Linked DNA regions of Oreochromis niloticus. The protein of the gene in region 2 interacts with the protein of the main gene of each other region in a pairwise test. Links are inferred from orthologs where the notes say so. Each region holds a gene or a part of one and is shown on either strand. Other genes may lie near its edges.

Region 1 (8,194 bases), on a different chromosome or scaffold from region 2:
TCTTTTCAGATGAATGTTAGCATAACAAAAACCATTATTCGCTTCAGTTTTATCTATATAGTGCCATATGCCCAAAACAGTCGCCTCAAGACGCTCTATGAAGAGGTAAAGATCCTAAAATATTACAGAGAAACCCCCAATAGGAAGGAAAAGCTCCCTTTAAACAGGAGAAAACCTTCAGTTTAACCGGGCTTAGTAAAGGGCAATCACTTGTCACTAAGGGTTGGGAGTGAGGGGAATAAGAAGAGAGAGCATAAACTCAACTATGGCAGCAAGAAGAGAAGAAAAGATTTAATTACATGCAGTGGTGGCATAAAAACACATGAGTAGTGAAAAGAGATGAGAGGAGAATTGCTCAGTGCATCACTGGAAGTTCCCCAGCAGTCTGAGCATTTAGCCACATAACTAATGGATAGTTCAGGGTCACCTGATTCAGCCCCAACCAGAAGCTTTAAAATAAAAGAGTTAGGTTTATTCATAAAAGCAGACAGGGTGTCTGCCTCCCAATTCTGGACTGAATTCTGGAGTTTACAGGGAGTCAATGGTAAAAAGTTAATATGGGAGACAGATGATCTCCCTTTCTGCCAGTACGCTCTGTGATTCATGCTTTGGATTAACTGAAGGCTTTCGAGGGATAATTCAGAATAGAAATAATGAATGCATGAACTAACTTGTCACCATTACTCTAAGGCAGGACATTCTAACTTTGGCAATACCATTCAGAAAGAAATAAAGAAGAAAGAAGGGAGTCCTATATATTTGTTTGCACATTGAACAACATATCGTGATCAAAATTGGCTCCAAGGTTCCTCACATTGCTGCTGGAGGCCAAGGTGATGCCATCCAGACAAAGCATCTGGGTAGAAAACACGTTTCTATGTTTTTTAGGGCTAACCTGAGCTTTATCACAATCAAGAAAACAGAATTATCAGCATTTAACGCTGCACTGGGGTCTAGCGGTACAAGCACAGACACAAGTACAATGTCAGACACCATAAGAATATTATTACCGTCCTTCACTAGTGCTGTTTCTGTGCAATAATAACCTCTAAATCTTGAGTGAAACTCTTCTAATAATCAGTTCCTCAGCAAATGATTTTGGAAACTAAAGGAAACTAAAGGTTGGAAACAATGGACAAAGAAGGGCAAGAGGTCTAGGCAGGGTGGCACATACCTCTTCGGTGAAGTACGGTGTGTGAAAATCCCCCAAATGTAAATGAAGTCAACAAAATATCAACAAAAAATTGTTTATTGTATCTCTTCTAAGAAAACAAAGGCTATAAGAGGCTTTTTGAATAAAAAACAATTAGTTTTTACCAGGGGGGGCCCTACAGCAGGGGGGTAGTTGCCCCCCTTGCCCCCCTATAGATCCACCCCTGGTTGGAAATCAGTCTGGAGTTGGCTATGATGGCTGAATTAAGTACAGAATTTTAAAGTAATGGTTTATTTACAGCCACTTTCAAAACCTGTGGTATATAACCTATGTTAGAAGATTATTACATAGATAATACACAGCAAAAAAAAGTCTAGTGGGGCTCCCTTGTCATGTTTCTGAAAATGATCAAGTTTGGATCAGCTCAACATGAGAGTGGCCTCCCAACACAAATCTTAAGAATGTTTAGTTCATGTAACTGTTGGAGGCCCTGAAAGGCAAAACTTTTGACTATTTCACAAAAAGGGAAGGACTAGAGAAAAGTCTGAACAATGAATCCAGTGTGTCGCATAAAGACAGCTTTTCTTTCTTCCTGTCATATGACTCATAGCCCTCAAATTAATTTTGAAACATTTTAGGATGACTTGATGTCAAAAATAGGAATTCCTAGGAATTTACAGAATATACAACATTTGAAGCAGTAATATTGGGGACACCTCTGTAAGTACACTGCATTGCCAACAGAGCAAAGGCTCTGAGTACTGCTTGCATCACTTCTTATTCATTGATTTATTTTTATACCTAAACTATAATTTGAAATTCCAATTCAACTGTTGAATGGCTGCAAAGTATGATGTAACCTGTTTCTTTCAAGCAGTACAGTGACTGGCCTGATGGGGGTGCTAAACTCTATAAAGCTCCACTGTGTAAAATAGATTCAGGAGGCCTGTTTGGGTGAAACTTGAGTAGATATCCAACTTGTGTGTGACTGACCCGAGGGCTGAATTTTGGGCAGATCTTGAAAAGCCAACATGCTTCCTCATGTCTGCTGGTATAAACTGATCCTCCCTTACCAAATTGTGGCAAGATTTCTTCTTCTTATTTTCTCCCCCACTTTGATTGCCTTCTATTATATGCCTATAATACTTTAATTTGCAGGTGCTTACTAAAGTACGCAGGTGTTATCCCACTAAAAAGAACTGTGATCTGCAGGTCCTTTGGAAGGTGACTATTGGGAGTATTTGACATGAAGATTACTCATGTGAGAAAAGAAGCAGAAGAAAACAATCGCCTGAGACAAAACAGTCTTCACAGTTAAATCTTTTGACTGCAGTCAAAAGACAAGCAAACTGGATTTGCCAGTGAAACAAACACAATTATAAAAGCTGAAGGTATATAAAAAAAACTTGCACCCTCAGTTTAACATTGTGGCTAAAATTGAAGGAAGGCTTTGAATAGCTCCAGTGCAGGTAAGCTGTCAAAAGGCAAGATTAGTGACTCAAGCCTTAAGTTACATTTTCTTGCTGCATGTAGGTGACCTTAATGTCTAGACTAGCCTGGGGTAAGCACAGAGTGCAATATACTTTAGAGGAATTTGGTCAGTTGGGAGTGAAATCACACTGGATGCAGTTTGAAAGAGACAGTCAAGTGTTATAATCAGTCACTGGTGTTCGCTGAAAGCCTGTTTCAGAATTAAGGTGAGGTATAGGGGCTAGGTTGATGAACCAGGTAACTGTCACGTTGTAGTTATGTATTTTCGGATATAATGGATTTTAAATAGGAACGCACACACACGCACACACACACACACACATAAATATATACGGTTAGAAAAAATGGTTCACATCAATTGCATAATACCACTGCACAATTTTAAAGAGGATCTTTAAAAACGTAACAGTTTTTTAAAAAAATTTGTTTTCAAAGGGATTCTTTTCACTAAACTATAATGATCCTGGTGCTGGTTTTGTTTCATGCCAGCTGCAGTGAATTCCTATAATTCACCCGTTTCTTTGCACACTGGCACAAAGGCTGCCAGCCTTCGATTAAAAAAAAAGAGAAGAAGAATCGGTGGGAAAAACGGGATGATTTTCCCTCTTCCAATCCAGATCTTTGTATTCGTTTGGGAAATCCCACAGACCCCCGCTACCGGTGAAAACTCCGCGGGAAAAACTCCCTGCAATTCCCTCTCGGCTACGCGCAGGCGAGCGTCACGTCAAGCATGCGCGAGCACGCGAACTCGCCACACCACGCGGGAAGCCCCTAAATGGACAGATACATTATCTGAGCCAGACTTGATGTGTGGGATTTCCCAATTTTCCTCCAAGTGAACTCACCCCGTTACATAAAAAGACCTGCGGGGTGTAATCAGGTGCAGTTACGCTATTTTTAAGCGCCGAAATTCAGGATACAGGTTATGACTAATGATCACATTTCTATTCACTCTTTGCCAAATTTCCCTCGAAGTGCACTCACACTATTATAACTACAATGCCCTTCTGCGTGTATTTTATGCAATCAAGCTAAGAGACTGAGTGTCGATATTTACGACACACAATATGAATGATCGCCATATTTCTATTCACCCCCGCAGTTTTGTGCCCAGTGTTTCATTACGTCGAATTTCACAAATGCTTGATATGATATTACTACACACACGCGCGCGCGCGCGCACACATGCAGGATGTCTGGAAAAAAACGCTCCGCGGGTCCTGTATTTGCGGATAAACAGCTGCTGCTGCTTCCGCATCGTCCGATGCTACTCTCTTTTCCCGCTGTCAAGACAGTACAAGAGTTCACTCAGCATGACCCATATCCATGCACCCAGCAAGCCGGTATCACACTGCCCCCAGCGGCCATTGAAAATTACTACACCATTTCTTGTAAATGCCTGACTTCTCAGGCAGATCGCTGTTTATACTAAAGGGTTGGTCCCATGCACATGTTTGTCATGCCAGACTGTGGGGGAAGACTTTTGGCTTGTGGAAGACGAAAGCGTGCGCGTGTGCTTTGGAAATGAATGCACGCGCTCTCAGACCTGTTATAAGAGGCCTTTCAGTCAATTCAATAATAAACCTTCAAATGGTATTTTTCTTTTAGTTATAACAGGGTGGTAATGCGCAAATATGCAGATATGACATGTTAACTTTGCACAACCTCCAAAGCAACGTTATTATAAGAATGTGATATTATGATCAGTATAACCGTAATGCGGTGCATAACAGGACGCGATAGTATAACAAGTCGGCTGTTACGGTTTAATGTCAAATCTTAATGTGAGTAAAATATAATTTGCCATTTGCAAATATTTGCACTTTTTGCACAAAGCACTATCTGTAAGGTGAATTGCTTAAAAAGGAGGGAGTGGGGAAACAAACTCGAGTGACACATGAGTTGGGTCATTTAGTTTGATGATCTAGTCTACGTGCAGCAATCAACTGTATTCCACGCGTGTTGTTTTTAACTTCCTTCTAGCTCTCAACAGCGTGATTTCTCGGAAACGGTTCTTTTGCTGAAGCAGAGGATCACAGCGCATGCTCCAAACACACTGTAAAAAATGTCAGTCCTATTATAAGAGGACTTTCAGTCAATTCAATAAAAAAAACCTTCAAATGGTATTTTTTTTAGTTACAACAGGGTGGTAATGCGCAAATATGCAGATATGACATTAATAAAGTAGCTACTGTAAGAAACTACGAGATTATCGTCAAATAACCAATACATTTTCAAAGGCTTGATAAACACACCTCTCACTTCTTTTGTCTTCTGAGGACATTTTTTATAGCACCAAGCCTCCTGCCGGGGAATACCCGCTACTGAGCTTACAGTATATAAGTGTGCAGAGAAAGCTGTCAGTACTCACTTGTACTCAGAAAACGTTTGCAAGTGGAACACTTAAAGACGAGACGAAGCTTTTCTTAAATCAACGGGATTATTGTTGCATTCTTTTCCTCCTGGAATCAAAGCAAATTAATCTGTAAGTATAGTGATATCAATTTAACATCGCTGCTGTATTTTTTAAAGGCTAAATGATGCTATTGGGATGATTTCTTTTTAAAATAGTATCTATTATTACTGTGGGAGTCTTTCTCTCACGCTGTGTGTTTGCATCTATTTGCATGTTATTTAATTCAATGCTCACTTTCAAAGGTTTTTTATGCACATTTCAAACTCGAATTTTTAATTCTGTGACATTTTTGCTCAGCCTATGTTGAGTTGCGCTCTTTTGCTCTAAGGAATTAAGAAACTTTTTTTTAGGTGGGGAATATTCGCTTACCATTTCAGATTTTTAAACTTTTGCGCTCCAGGATTAATAAAATCACTGCATAACTGCACGAGTTATTTTCAGTTATTTTTTTACTTTTTGTTCCTTCCAACCGTTCTAAACTAAAGTTGACTGCTACACGTAAACGCCTCCCTGTGCGCGCTGATTGCCCTGGCCATGAACTCTTATGTCCCGCGCAGCCAAGAAGCAGTAGTAAATCTAAGCCGGGGCTGAGATGCGAGAGTTTATTTCCTCTTACCGCTGTGCTTCACACGCTGCATTACAGCATTTCTCTAAACACTTTCTTCTGGATTTTTTTAGGCAAACATGCCAGTGTCAAGAATGAGGATGAGGCCATGGCTGGAGAAGATGATCGACTCCAATACAATTTGGGGCCTGGCTTGGATTGACAAGGTGAGAAGCTTTCTTATCCTATTATAATACGCTGAACTGGTTCATGTAAATAGGAACTGCCTGCAAATAAGTAATGACAATTCAGAGTACAGGAATAGATATTTGGAAATCTATTTGTTGTAAGATTGACACATCTCCCCATGAGACAGGGAAGTTATTTCTGCAAAGCTGCACATGTTTTTTTTGACACTGAGTTGTCCCCTTGCTGTGCATACAGTATTTGCGTGTTACAAACATTGACCTGGTTTGAAGCACTAGCTTGGGCTGGGTCTTAGTATTGCAGTGTTACTTTGAGGCGTACTATAGTTAAAGCCACTTTGCAGCTATGCCTGTGGCACTTCAAACTGGTGAAAATAACCACGATGAGGTAGCTGAACGGAAGCTTGGTTTCTGCTTGGGAGATAACACATTGCATTCTCTCAGTAAGCGCAATTACCCACAATCCAACTTAATATATATTGATTTTTTTATATTTCTTAGGAGAAAACAATGTTTTCCATCCCCTGGAAGCATGCAGCTCGACATGGCTGGGAGGTGGACAAAGACGCATGTCTGTTCAAAGAGTGGGCCAAACACACAGGTGAGCAAACTTGAATAAGCCTGCCACCTGTTCAGAACAATTCTTCTTTACAGGCTGACAAAGTGTACTAAACTATCATGTGCCAATGCATTTTACAGGGAAATATGTGGAGGGCCAAGTTTGTGACCCCAAGACATGGAAAGCCAACTTTCGCTGTGCAATGAACTCACTGCCTGACATCGAGGAGGTGAAAGACAAAAGTATTAACAAAGGCCACCAAGCTATGCGTGTCTTCAGGATGCTGCCTGCTAGTCAAAAATCTAAAGGTGAGAAAACTGACAGGAAATGAACGTTTGTTGGGTTTTCTTTGCAAATTAACATTGGCGCTCAGTATCTTCAATTCATGTGCTCTAAAGTCTCAGTGGTGAAGAAAGTAAGTGACCATAATGTTTTTCTTTCCTCTGCACAGATAAACGGACTAAATCAAGGGAGTCAAAGGGAAGGAAGAAGGTAAATGCTATCACTGTTACTATAGCTCTAGTGACACTTGTTTTTAAATAGCATACTCAAAATATTCCTCATTTACACTGATCCAGATACTGAATGTATAGCTTTCTAAAATAATTCTACTTTGTAGCTGTGCAGGAAACAGACATACACATATGGATTTGAATGTCTCGATTTTCATTTCAAACATCCCACTTAATTTCTCTTTGATTTGTTCTTGCAGAGTTCAGTGGTTAAGATGGAAGAGAGGGAAGACAGCTACAGTGACACTCAGTCTCCCATCCCTGCACTGATGCCAGAAAGCACACAAGAAAACAGAGTTGACAGCACAGTGCAGACAGACCAGCCAGGTGAGCAAGTTTGAAAAATCTGTACTGAAAATGATAAACATTGCATTTGAATCTAAAAGTCCAAGTGTACTCAATGTGTTTGTTTGCCATTTTTGCAGATTTCTTCTTTCCATCTGACGTTCCTGAATGGTCTTCAACAGTCGAGATTGGCCCTGACTCCTTCGTCAACAGATTTCAGGTTTCACCTGATCACAGCTCCGGTAAGATGACAACACATAGCTCATACTTGCTAGACTTTGGCTTAGCTTGGAATAATTAAACTTACATAGAAACTTAAATACTCATGTGTCTTTCTGTTTCTCTCCCCTTCTCATTGCTGTGATCGTGCAGACTACGACTATCCAGAAGATATTATTGAGGTAAGCATAAGCTACAGGTCTTACCCTAGCTAGAAAGTAATATTTCATTGACAGGAATACCCATGTTTGTCTTATTCTGCTTGGTTTGGCTCATGCAATAATACCCAAAACACTAATAAGCATGTTTTGTGTTGGAAAAACTAGTTGGGCCAAATATAGCCATACTCAATCCAGTGTTACTCTTTCAGATTTGCAGAAAACTGGAGAAAGAAACTTCACACTGGATGACAACAAGCAGTTTAGACGACAGGGGGTTCCTGAGCAATGAACCATGCACCAGTCCAGGGAGCCAGTGGAGTGAGTCTTCATCAGGTAAATGTTGCTAGTTGGAGGCTGTCATGTAGCTGCTGCTTAAACACCACAGTCCATGCCAGCAATTTAAGAATTCAGTAGAATTTAGTCAACATCAATAAATATGTATAGATTTTGTTGTAGATTACATTAGCAATCAGAATAGTGCTATCAGTTTTAAGTCACATTACTCCAAAATATATTCTTTGTTGGCTTAACTGACCTTGGATTTCGCTCTTTGTTTTGCAGTCGACGAAGTAGACGACACACGGCCACAGTACACAACTCTTGCAGACATCCCAAATTCCACAGATGAATTCTGGAACAGCTTTTGCC
Region 2 (8,291 bases):
TAACAGTGTGAAAAAAATTAGGAGCCACTAAAAATATTAAGACTAAATCTTGAAAAAGTTGATTTAAAAAAAACAAAACATGATCAAATATAGAATTCAAAGGTACAATAAGCTTTATCAAGTAAAAGAAAAAAACACTGCAATAAAAATATGACTCATAAAAATTCAAAACAAATTCCAACACGGACACAAAGTAACTAAAAATATCTGCTCATGGGGAGTCACACGGCATCTGTCCTTAAAAAGAAAGCAGAAATGAATTTAAGGAAACTGCCTGTCAAAGCAAGTCATAGTTTTCTTCTCCTGTTCGACGGCCACTCTTCACAGTTACCTTTACAAATAATCACTCTTTCTTTGGTTGAGATCAAGTAGCTGATTTCTGTTCTCCCCACAGAAACTGATGGAGGTTCCTCTTGGAGAAAAAGTTCCTCGAAACAAATGAAGACTTCCAGACCTTTTTTCCAGACAGATCCTCATCAGAGGAGTGTACTATGAAGCAAGCTCAACAAAGCCAGGCTTTCTTTGCTTTAGCTGGCTTGACAGAACTTAAAATCCCAGTCAGACATAACTGCTGCTTCTCAACCTTCTCTGTTAATGGAAGCTTTCTGATCCGGGTTCACATTAAAGGTGGTGTATAACGCATTATTTCACAAAATGATTGAATGCCATTTACGTCAATCAGAGGAGGTCACTGAGAGAGATGAACGATATATTTTAAAAGAAAATGAAGCCAAAGATGAGTGCTGCAGAAAGCTTTTAACCTTGCCTAAAAATCTCAGTTTTAACGTGACAGTAGCAGATGAGAGCTTCTTCTCGATTGATCAAACCAGACAGTTTGTAGCATGTGACCGATCGCAGACTGAAAACTGGCAGCACAGCAGGGGATAATACAAAGGAAACTAAAGCTGTAATCTTAGAGAAATATGAACAGTTTAAACACAGAAAACAGAATCAGCAATGCTCCATCATTGGGATACAGGAGGACCTGACATGATTACAGCTAAATATTCCATTAATTTAACAGGCTTTGTTGTTTAATTTAGACTGAATACAGAAATTCTCCAGGAAACAGAGAAAAAAAAAAAAGCTACAAATAAAGTTTCTCCTAAAAATCTGCATTTCATGATTGATGCTTATCATTTAGACTGTCACTACAAACGCTGAGCTCCATGGGGAATGGATTCACTGTTTCAGGTGATTTCATATGTGCTTTGGTGTAGCTGCAGTGTAAATTACCATGGCGATGTAGCCCTGTAAGAAGGAAACCAAGGTTTAAACCTGACGTTAACTCCATAAGCCGAGTCCTGCTTTGATAGAACAGGACCAGGTTGCCTTAAGCATTAGTTATGGTGATCTAGCAGGTTAAACTGAGCCTGTGGTCATCAAGGTAGAGCAGGTAGGTGTGTGTGTGTGTGTGTGTGTGTGTGTGTGTGTGTGTGTGTGTGTGTGTGTGTGTGTGTGTGTTAGAATAAAAGCGCTGTATGAATGTGTGTGCTTGAAGTGAATGAGGCTTGTAGTAAAAAGCACTTTGAGGGTTCACGTTCATTTAAGAGATCCACCTTCATCGCAGTGAAAACTCTGACTTAAAGCTCGATATGCCCAACTAACTGATTTATCTCTCTTTGTAGTACACCTCTCTAGATTCAGACTGTTTTTAATTAGCATGTTTATTTTATTTTAAATGTATTTGAAATTTGTTGTTTTATTTTGAAGGAGACAAACCTTTGGAATGGGTCTAAAAAATCATTTATTTGTGATTTTCTTTTGCCCTCACGTTTTGTGCCTTTTAGGTAGCAGTGATGCACAAATTTTAAGATTTGAAAGGAAATAATTTGTGGTGTGGAGCTGGCTCTTGATGTAATAAACTCGGTTTGATTTATCCAGTTAAAAAAATGTAAATGTAAAAGTCAGTTCAGAATAAATGTATGTTTATTAACCAAAATGTAATTTTTTTTCAGTCTTTAACATTTTGTCTGAGAGTTTCTAGTTTTTTCTGCTTTATAAAAAGTGGGTGGATATATGAGGTTGAACATCATCTCAATAAATAGAATTATTTTAACGAAAGTGGAGTTACTGATGTCTGTTATGTTTTGACAGATTTTGTGGTGTTTTCATTAATACATTCTTCTGAAGTTACTTTAGCCAAATGTGACTTTTAAAGTGTTGTTTTTAATGAGAATTTAAACGTTACATTTGTAAACAACAAGATTACAGTTTACAGTCTAAAGAAATGATACAAACTTGTGTAAGGAGACGAGATTTCCTCTGTTTCGTGAATGCATCAGCACTGTTACTTACATAGAAACCCTGTAAGCAAAAGCAAAACTGTTATCAAATAAAACATTTAATGAATTCTGTATCAAAGAAAAAAGTCCAAGCTAAGACTTAAAGTTAACACAAAAATAATTTTTTAAATTTAAAATGTAAAGTACGTCTCATGTTACTTATTATTCTGTGATTGTATATCAGTGAGATTCAGATGCTTTATCTTAAGTAGCCCATAAGGATAACCATTCAGAGGGTTTAAATAACCTTTAATTGAATTTAAACACACTACAGTGAATTGATTGTTTGGAGATTTGGTATTTTCTTATTAAAAGTGCCTGAAAATAAGGAAAAAAGGCACAAGAATAAAGAATAAATGAATCATTCAGTCAAAAAAACATTGAACGTTTATACTATCTCTGCTGTTAGTATATATATATATATATCTATATATATATATATATATATATATATATATATATATATATATATATATATAGATATATAGATATATATATAGATATATAGATATATATATAGATATATAGATAGATATATAGATAGATATATAGATAGATAGATATATATATATAGATATATATATATAGATATATATATATAGATATATATATATAGATATAGATATAGATAGATATATATCTATATAGATATATATCTATATCTATATATCTATATATAGATATAGATATCTATATATAGATATAGATATCTATATATAGATATAGATATCTATATATAGATATAGATATCTATATCTATATATAGATATCTATATCTATATATAGATATATAGATATAGATATATATCTATATATAGATATATAGATATATCTATATGTATTGATCAGGTGTAACATTATGATCACCTACTTAATATTGTGTTGGTCCCCCTGTTGCTGCCAACTGTTCGCTCCATGGATCGGACTTGTTTGTCCAGCACGTCCCATAGATAACTGATTGGATCGAGATCCGGGAAATTTGGAAGTCGAGTCAACACTTCAAACTTGTTGCTGTGCTTCTCAAACCATTCCTGAACCATTTTTTGCTTTGTAGCAGGGTGTGTTACAATGCTGAAAGAGACCACAGCCATCGGGGAATACTGTTTCCATGATGATTGTGGATGTACATGACCCTAAATACTGCTTAGCTAGGTGGCAAATGTCAAAATAACATTCACTTTGTTGGCAGGACACAAAGGATTCCCAGCAGAACATTTCCTGAGGAATCGCACTGCCTCTGCCAAAAGATGACTCATTGGCCTGTAATCTGCCAAAAACATGTCAAACATATGCCTTATGAATATTATCACATCATTTTGACCCAGAAAGAATATTCCTATTACAAGGTGGAAACTTACGCTTATGGTGACTAAAGTTAAAACAAGATCTAAGAACCTTGTATACCTCTTGTATAACTGTTTGACTGTCTGGACAAGTTACACAAAAATCAATCTAAATATACACTCACTGGACATTTTATTAGGTACAACTTGCCAGTAATTTGCTAATACCTAATTTTTCATGGTGTAGATTCAACAAACATGCCTCAGAGACTTTAGTCCTTACAAGATAGCATCACAGCTGCTGCAGCTTTCTCGGTGGCTGTGATGTGAATCTCCTGTTCCACCACATACCAAAGGTGCTCTAATGCAGCGGTCCCCAACCTTTTTTGCGTCACGGACCGGTTTATGCCCGACAATATTTTCATGGACCGGCCTTTAAGGTGTCGCGGATAAATACAACAAAATAAAACTAGTACCGGTACCGAAAAAAAGAAGATTTATTCATAACACACGTGAAAAGACCCAGGAAAACCGAGTTAACGATAAAAACGATAACAAAATAACGCTGAAAACCGATAAAAACCCTGAAAAACACAAATTTCACACCTGAGCCTCAACTCTCGTGGCCCGGTACCAAACGATTCACGGACCGGTACCGGTCCGAGGCCCGGGGGTTGGGGACCACTGCTCTAATGGACTGAGGTCTGGTGCATGTGGAGGTCACTGGGTAGAGTGAACTTATTGTCATGTACAAGAAACCAGCTTGAGATGATCTGACATTTGTGACATGGTATGTTACTTAGGTCATAAACATTTTCATCCAGATAACTGCTGCTCACTGGATATTTTCCCTTCTTTGGACCATTATCTGTAAGCACTAGAGATGGTTATGTTATAAAATCCCATCAGATGAGCAGTTTCTGAAATACTCAGATTACCCCCCCCCGCCCAATACACTAACAATCATGCCACATTCAAAGTCACTTAAATCACCTTTCTTTATTGATCTGATGCTTGGTTTGAACTTCAGCAGGTTGTCTTGGCTGTGTCTACATGCCCAAATGCACTGAGCTGCTGCCACGTGATTGGCTGATTGGATATTTGCGTTACAAAGCAGTTGAACAGGTGTTCCTGGCTGGTTAGTTCATTTCCAGCTCATATATCTGCTTTATTTGTCATGCAATAATGAGGAACAAGGCCTTACCTGGCCATGAAACTGCTTCTCACTTATTGTCCAATTACTTTAGAGCCTTTGAATGTCATTCTTAAACAGATAATGGAATACTTTTTCCCATCCCCTTGAATGAAAGGTGAAAGTCTGCACTTCAGTCACATCTCCACTGTCTCCTCTGTGCACATACTCAGGACCCTGTGTCTCTGTGTGTGCTCACTTTCGCCCCCTGGTGTCAGACCTGCGGAGGGTTTCTCTAAAACCACGTGACTTCGGGGAAAAGGAGCGCCTTCACAGACTGAGCCGCAGAGCTGAAGAGGAGAAGGCAGTCAGTCCGCAGGCACCGCGGAGGAAACACAACCGAGGTAAACGAAACTTAAATCAACTTCCTTAATTTAACACCTTAGCGTCTATATTTGATTTTTTATAAATATAACATGCGGCGGTGGGAGGATGTTTGCAGCTGCTTTGTTGTTTCCAGTCCAGACTCCATTTAAAAAAGACCTAATTTTAGAAAGTTTTTGTCTTTCTTTTCTTTTTTAATGTGTGTCGGCTCTGTTTAAAGACCCGGCTTGAACACGAGGCTTGAACTTGGCTTTTTACGCGAAAGCAAATCGACCTTTATTCATATTTTTACATATTTCTTATGTCTAATATTGGATGTTTTTGATGTGCTCAGAGTGAAGCTGTGCTATTATTAAAAATGTGAGGCGGGGTGGGTGTAGGAGGGCATGTCGGGGCAGTTGATCGAAGTTGTTTGTGTTGATGTTTTGCCGCTGGCCTTGAAACTTTGCGGTGTTTTCAGCATTTTTAAAGAAGCAGCGATGGCAGCTGGGAGAATGCGTTCCACTCGCAGACTGCGCTCCTGGATCGTCGAACAGGTGTGTGGCTGTGTATGTGTGTGTGCATAAGTGTGAGAGGGTAAGGACAAATGAAAGAGGGGGGGGGACAGGGAGAGGAAAGGGGTGATTGAGAGGTCACTAACAAACATATATTCATAACTATGGGGCTGAAAATGACACCAGCAAAAGTTTAACTTTTCTCTTGTTAGAAAATCAGCTGCAATTGCATAATCTGCTTAAGCAAATTGTAGGTCAGCTGTGGAAAAATGCACTTTTCTGTTTCTACTATCATATAAATGTGTTATAGGTGGTTATTGCAACTTTTTGTTTTTATGAAACAGTTTGAACCCTGAATTATTAACTAAAGTCATAAACTGAATATCAGGAAATAACTGATTTTGACTTTAGGCCACAAAATTCTGTGTATTGTGTAGAAGTGATATCCGCTGAGGTTGAGCTCAGCTGCACTTTCAACAAGTTTATATTTTTTAGATTAGTTGGTTAAGAAATAAACAGATATTGCTCCAATTAAGTGAATGTGTTCTGCTTTTTCTTGTTTTCTGACATATATAAGTGAGATCAGTGCAAGTGCAAGCTTCACTGTAGCTCTAAACACTCAGTTTCAGGCAGTTTCTTCCACTCTTGGAGCTTTATGAGGTCACAGAGAGCAAATCAGGAGAGAGTTAGCCTGGAGAGAGCTAAAACAGCTAGTTTCAGACAGGATGAATTAATGGGGCACATCAAGGCCTGATATGAGATAAATAAGGATTATTCTGAACTGTTAATGATGCAAAGCTACTTTAGTAGAGTCCAGTAATAAAAACGCTCAGTTCAATTTTATTTATATAGTGCCAAATCACAACATCAGTCGCCTCATGTTGGTTATATATGGTTGATATATTGTAAGGTAAAGACCCCACAATAGTACAGAGACAACGACAAATAAATAAATAACTCCTTTTGAGCAAGCACTTGGCAACAGTGGGAAGAAAAAACTCCCTTTTAACAGGAAGAGCCCCCCACCAGAACCAGGCTGAAGAAGGGGCAGGATCTGCTGTGACTGATTGAGGGTGATGAAGAAGAGACAGGGCAAATTCCGTGACACAAAAAAACCAATACAATTGTCAGATTTGATCATTTCAGAACACTAAAGTTTGCATATTTTTGCTTTAAAGGTGGATGATGTTGTGTTTTCTGCAGTATTAGTCAATCTAAAAGTGTTTTTTCTACAAAGACATGCAGAAGAGGTGGCTGGTTAGCAGCCCTGATTTATGTCTGCAGGTATCCAGGTTCAGGTGAAATTCAGGAAATCTATAAGCTTCTTAAACTTTGCCGTGTTTTTTGGTTTGTTTCAGGTCAGCAGTGGGAAATATCCGGGACTGGTGTGGGATGACGAGGCCAAAACCATGTTCCGCATCCCCTGGAAGCATGCGGGGAAACAGGACTTCCGCAAAGACGAAGATGCTGCGATCTTCAAGGTAGCTCTTGAAATTCTCAAGATTTGCTTTAAATGCCACAAATCCAGTCTGCTTTAAATCTCTGAGATCGCCATCGCTGTTCTCCCCAGGCGTGGGCAGAGTTCAAGGGGAAGCTGACAGACGGGGGCCAGGACAACCCGGCCGCTTGGAAGACCCGTCTGCGCTGCGCCCTCAACAAGAGTCCTGAGTTTAAGGAGGTGATGGACCGAGCCCAGCTGGACATCTCAGAACCATACAAGGTGTACCGCCTGGTCCCCATCAGCGAGCAAGGTGAGACTTGAAGTACCTACTCAGCGCGCTCTGGCTAGGTCGTAGTACAACTTAGTTATACCTCAGCAGCAAAGCATTTGACTTACCTCAAACCTGATAACCTCAATGACAAAATCAGTCTCGCGGTCACACGAAGGTGGTTAAGTCAACCTAAAACTTCCCAGTGGGTCACATGAGGGCACACGAGGCAGGACAGACGTGTGACAGCAATTACAAAAACATACATGTGAAGCCTAGGCGAGGCCCGAATATGCAGTGTAAAGACGCTGAATTCATTAATGTAACCATGGATGTTTTTCTGTAAGAGCTCTGATAGTTGTTGTTCACACTTCACTGGCTCAGATGTCCTCCATCTCAAGACATCTGTATTTCATTAAGAATAACTGCTGTTTAAGATTTATTAGCTCACAGTCTAACACGAACAGCCCGGTTTCACTCCTGATGGCAGAACAATGCAGGCACACCAGCGCACAAGGACCCGTTGTGGTGGGAATTCAAAGCAGCACCATAAATTATACCGCTGCCTTGTTTTACGAAACCAGGAACAAAGTACAATATTTGAAAACTCTCAGTAGGTTTAAGACACAATACAGCCTGAGCAACAAAGCAGGCTGGGAGTGTGCATGAGAGGGAGAGTGTAGCGTGAAAAAGTCTTGTATATATGCTAACGAAGGTCAGTAAGACTGGAAAAGCTGGCAAAAATGTTGAATGTTAAAGTTCTTGGTATCCCTGCTCGATGATGAAAATGAATAGACCTAAACTACTCCTAAATCAATGTGAAGGTTTGGTGAAGGTATTTTTGTAGAGCATGTAAGATAGTTTTATAGTTTTTTCAGAATTGTTGAAAATTTTATACAAGATCAGCTAGTAAGCAGCTTAGGCTCCCTGTTTTAGTATAAACTTTGCGTATTTGATATAATCTCTGAGCCATCAGAGTCTTAAGAGGGTCTCTAAGACTACAG

What was found.
Region 1: the proteins of irf9 (region 2) and irf1b interact in a two-hybrid assay, tested with the Homo sapiens proteins (2 studies listed by BioGRID and IntAct). The link is inferred for Oreochromis niloticus from reciprocal best matches to the Homo sapiens genes IRF9 and IRF1.

What each region holds. Positions count from the first base shown.
Region 1 is NC_031975.2:21,938,623-21,946,816, reverse strand, and holds the start of irf1b (interferon regulatory factor 1b), read left to right. Parts: upstream 1-4,976; 5' UTR 4,977-5,129; intron 5,130-5,738; 5' UTR 5,739-5,744; coding exon 5,745-5,831; intron 5,832-6,311; coding exon 6,312-6,411; intron 6,412-6,509; coding exon 6,510-6,677; intron 6,678-6,820; coding exon 6,821-6,861; intron 6,862-7,081; coding exon 7,082-7,208; intron 7,209-7,306; coding exon 7,307-7,408; intron 7,409-7,538; coding exon 7,539-7,567; intron 7,568-7,755; coding exon 7,756-7,879; intron 7,880-8,107; coding exon 8,108-8,194. UniProt on the Homo sapiens protein: Transcriptional regulator which displays a remarkable functional diversity in the regulation of cellular responses.
Region 2 is NC_031974.2:8,878,049-8,886,339, reverse strand, and holds the start of irf9 (interferon regulatory factor 9), read left to right. Parts: upstream 1-4,952; 5' UTR 4,953-5,104; intron 5,105-5,544; 5' UTR 5,545-5,563; coding exon 5,564-5,620; intron 5,621-6,936; coding exon 6,937-7,059; intron 7,060-7,148; coding exon 7,149-7,329; intron 7,330-8,291. Other genes in the region: E3 ubiquitin-protein ligase RNF31, read left to right, coding at 395-442.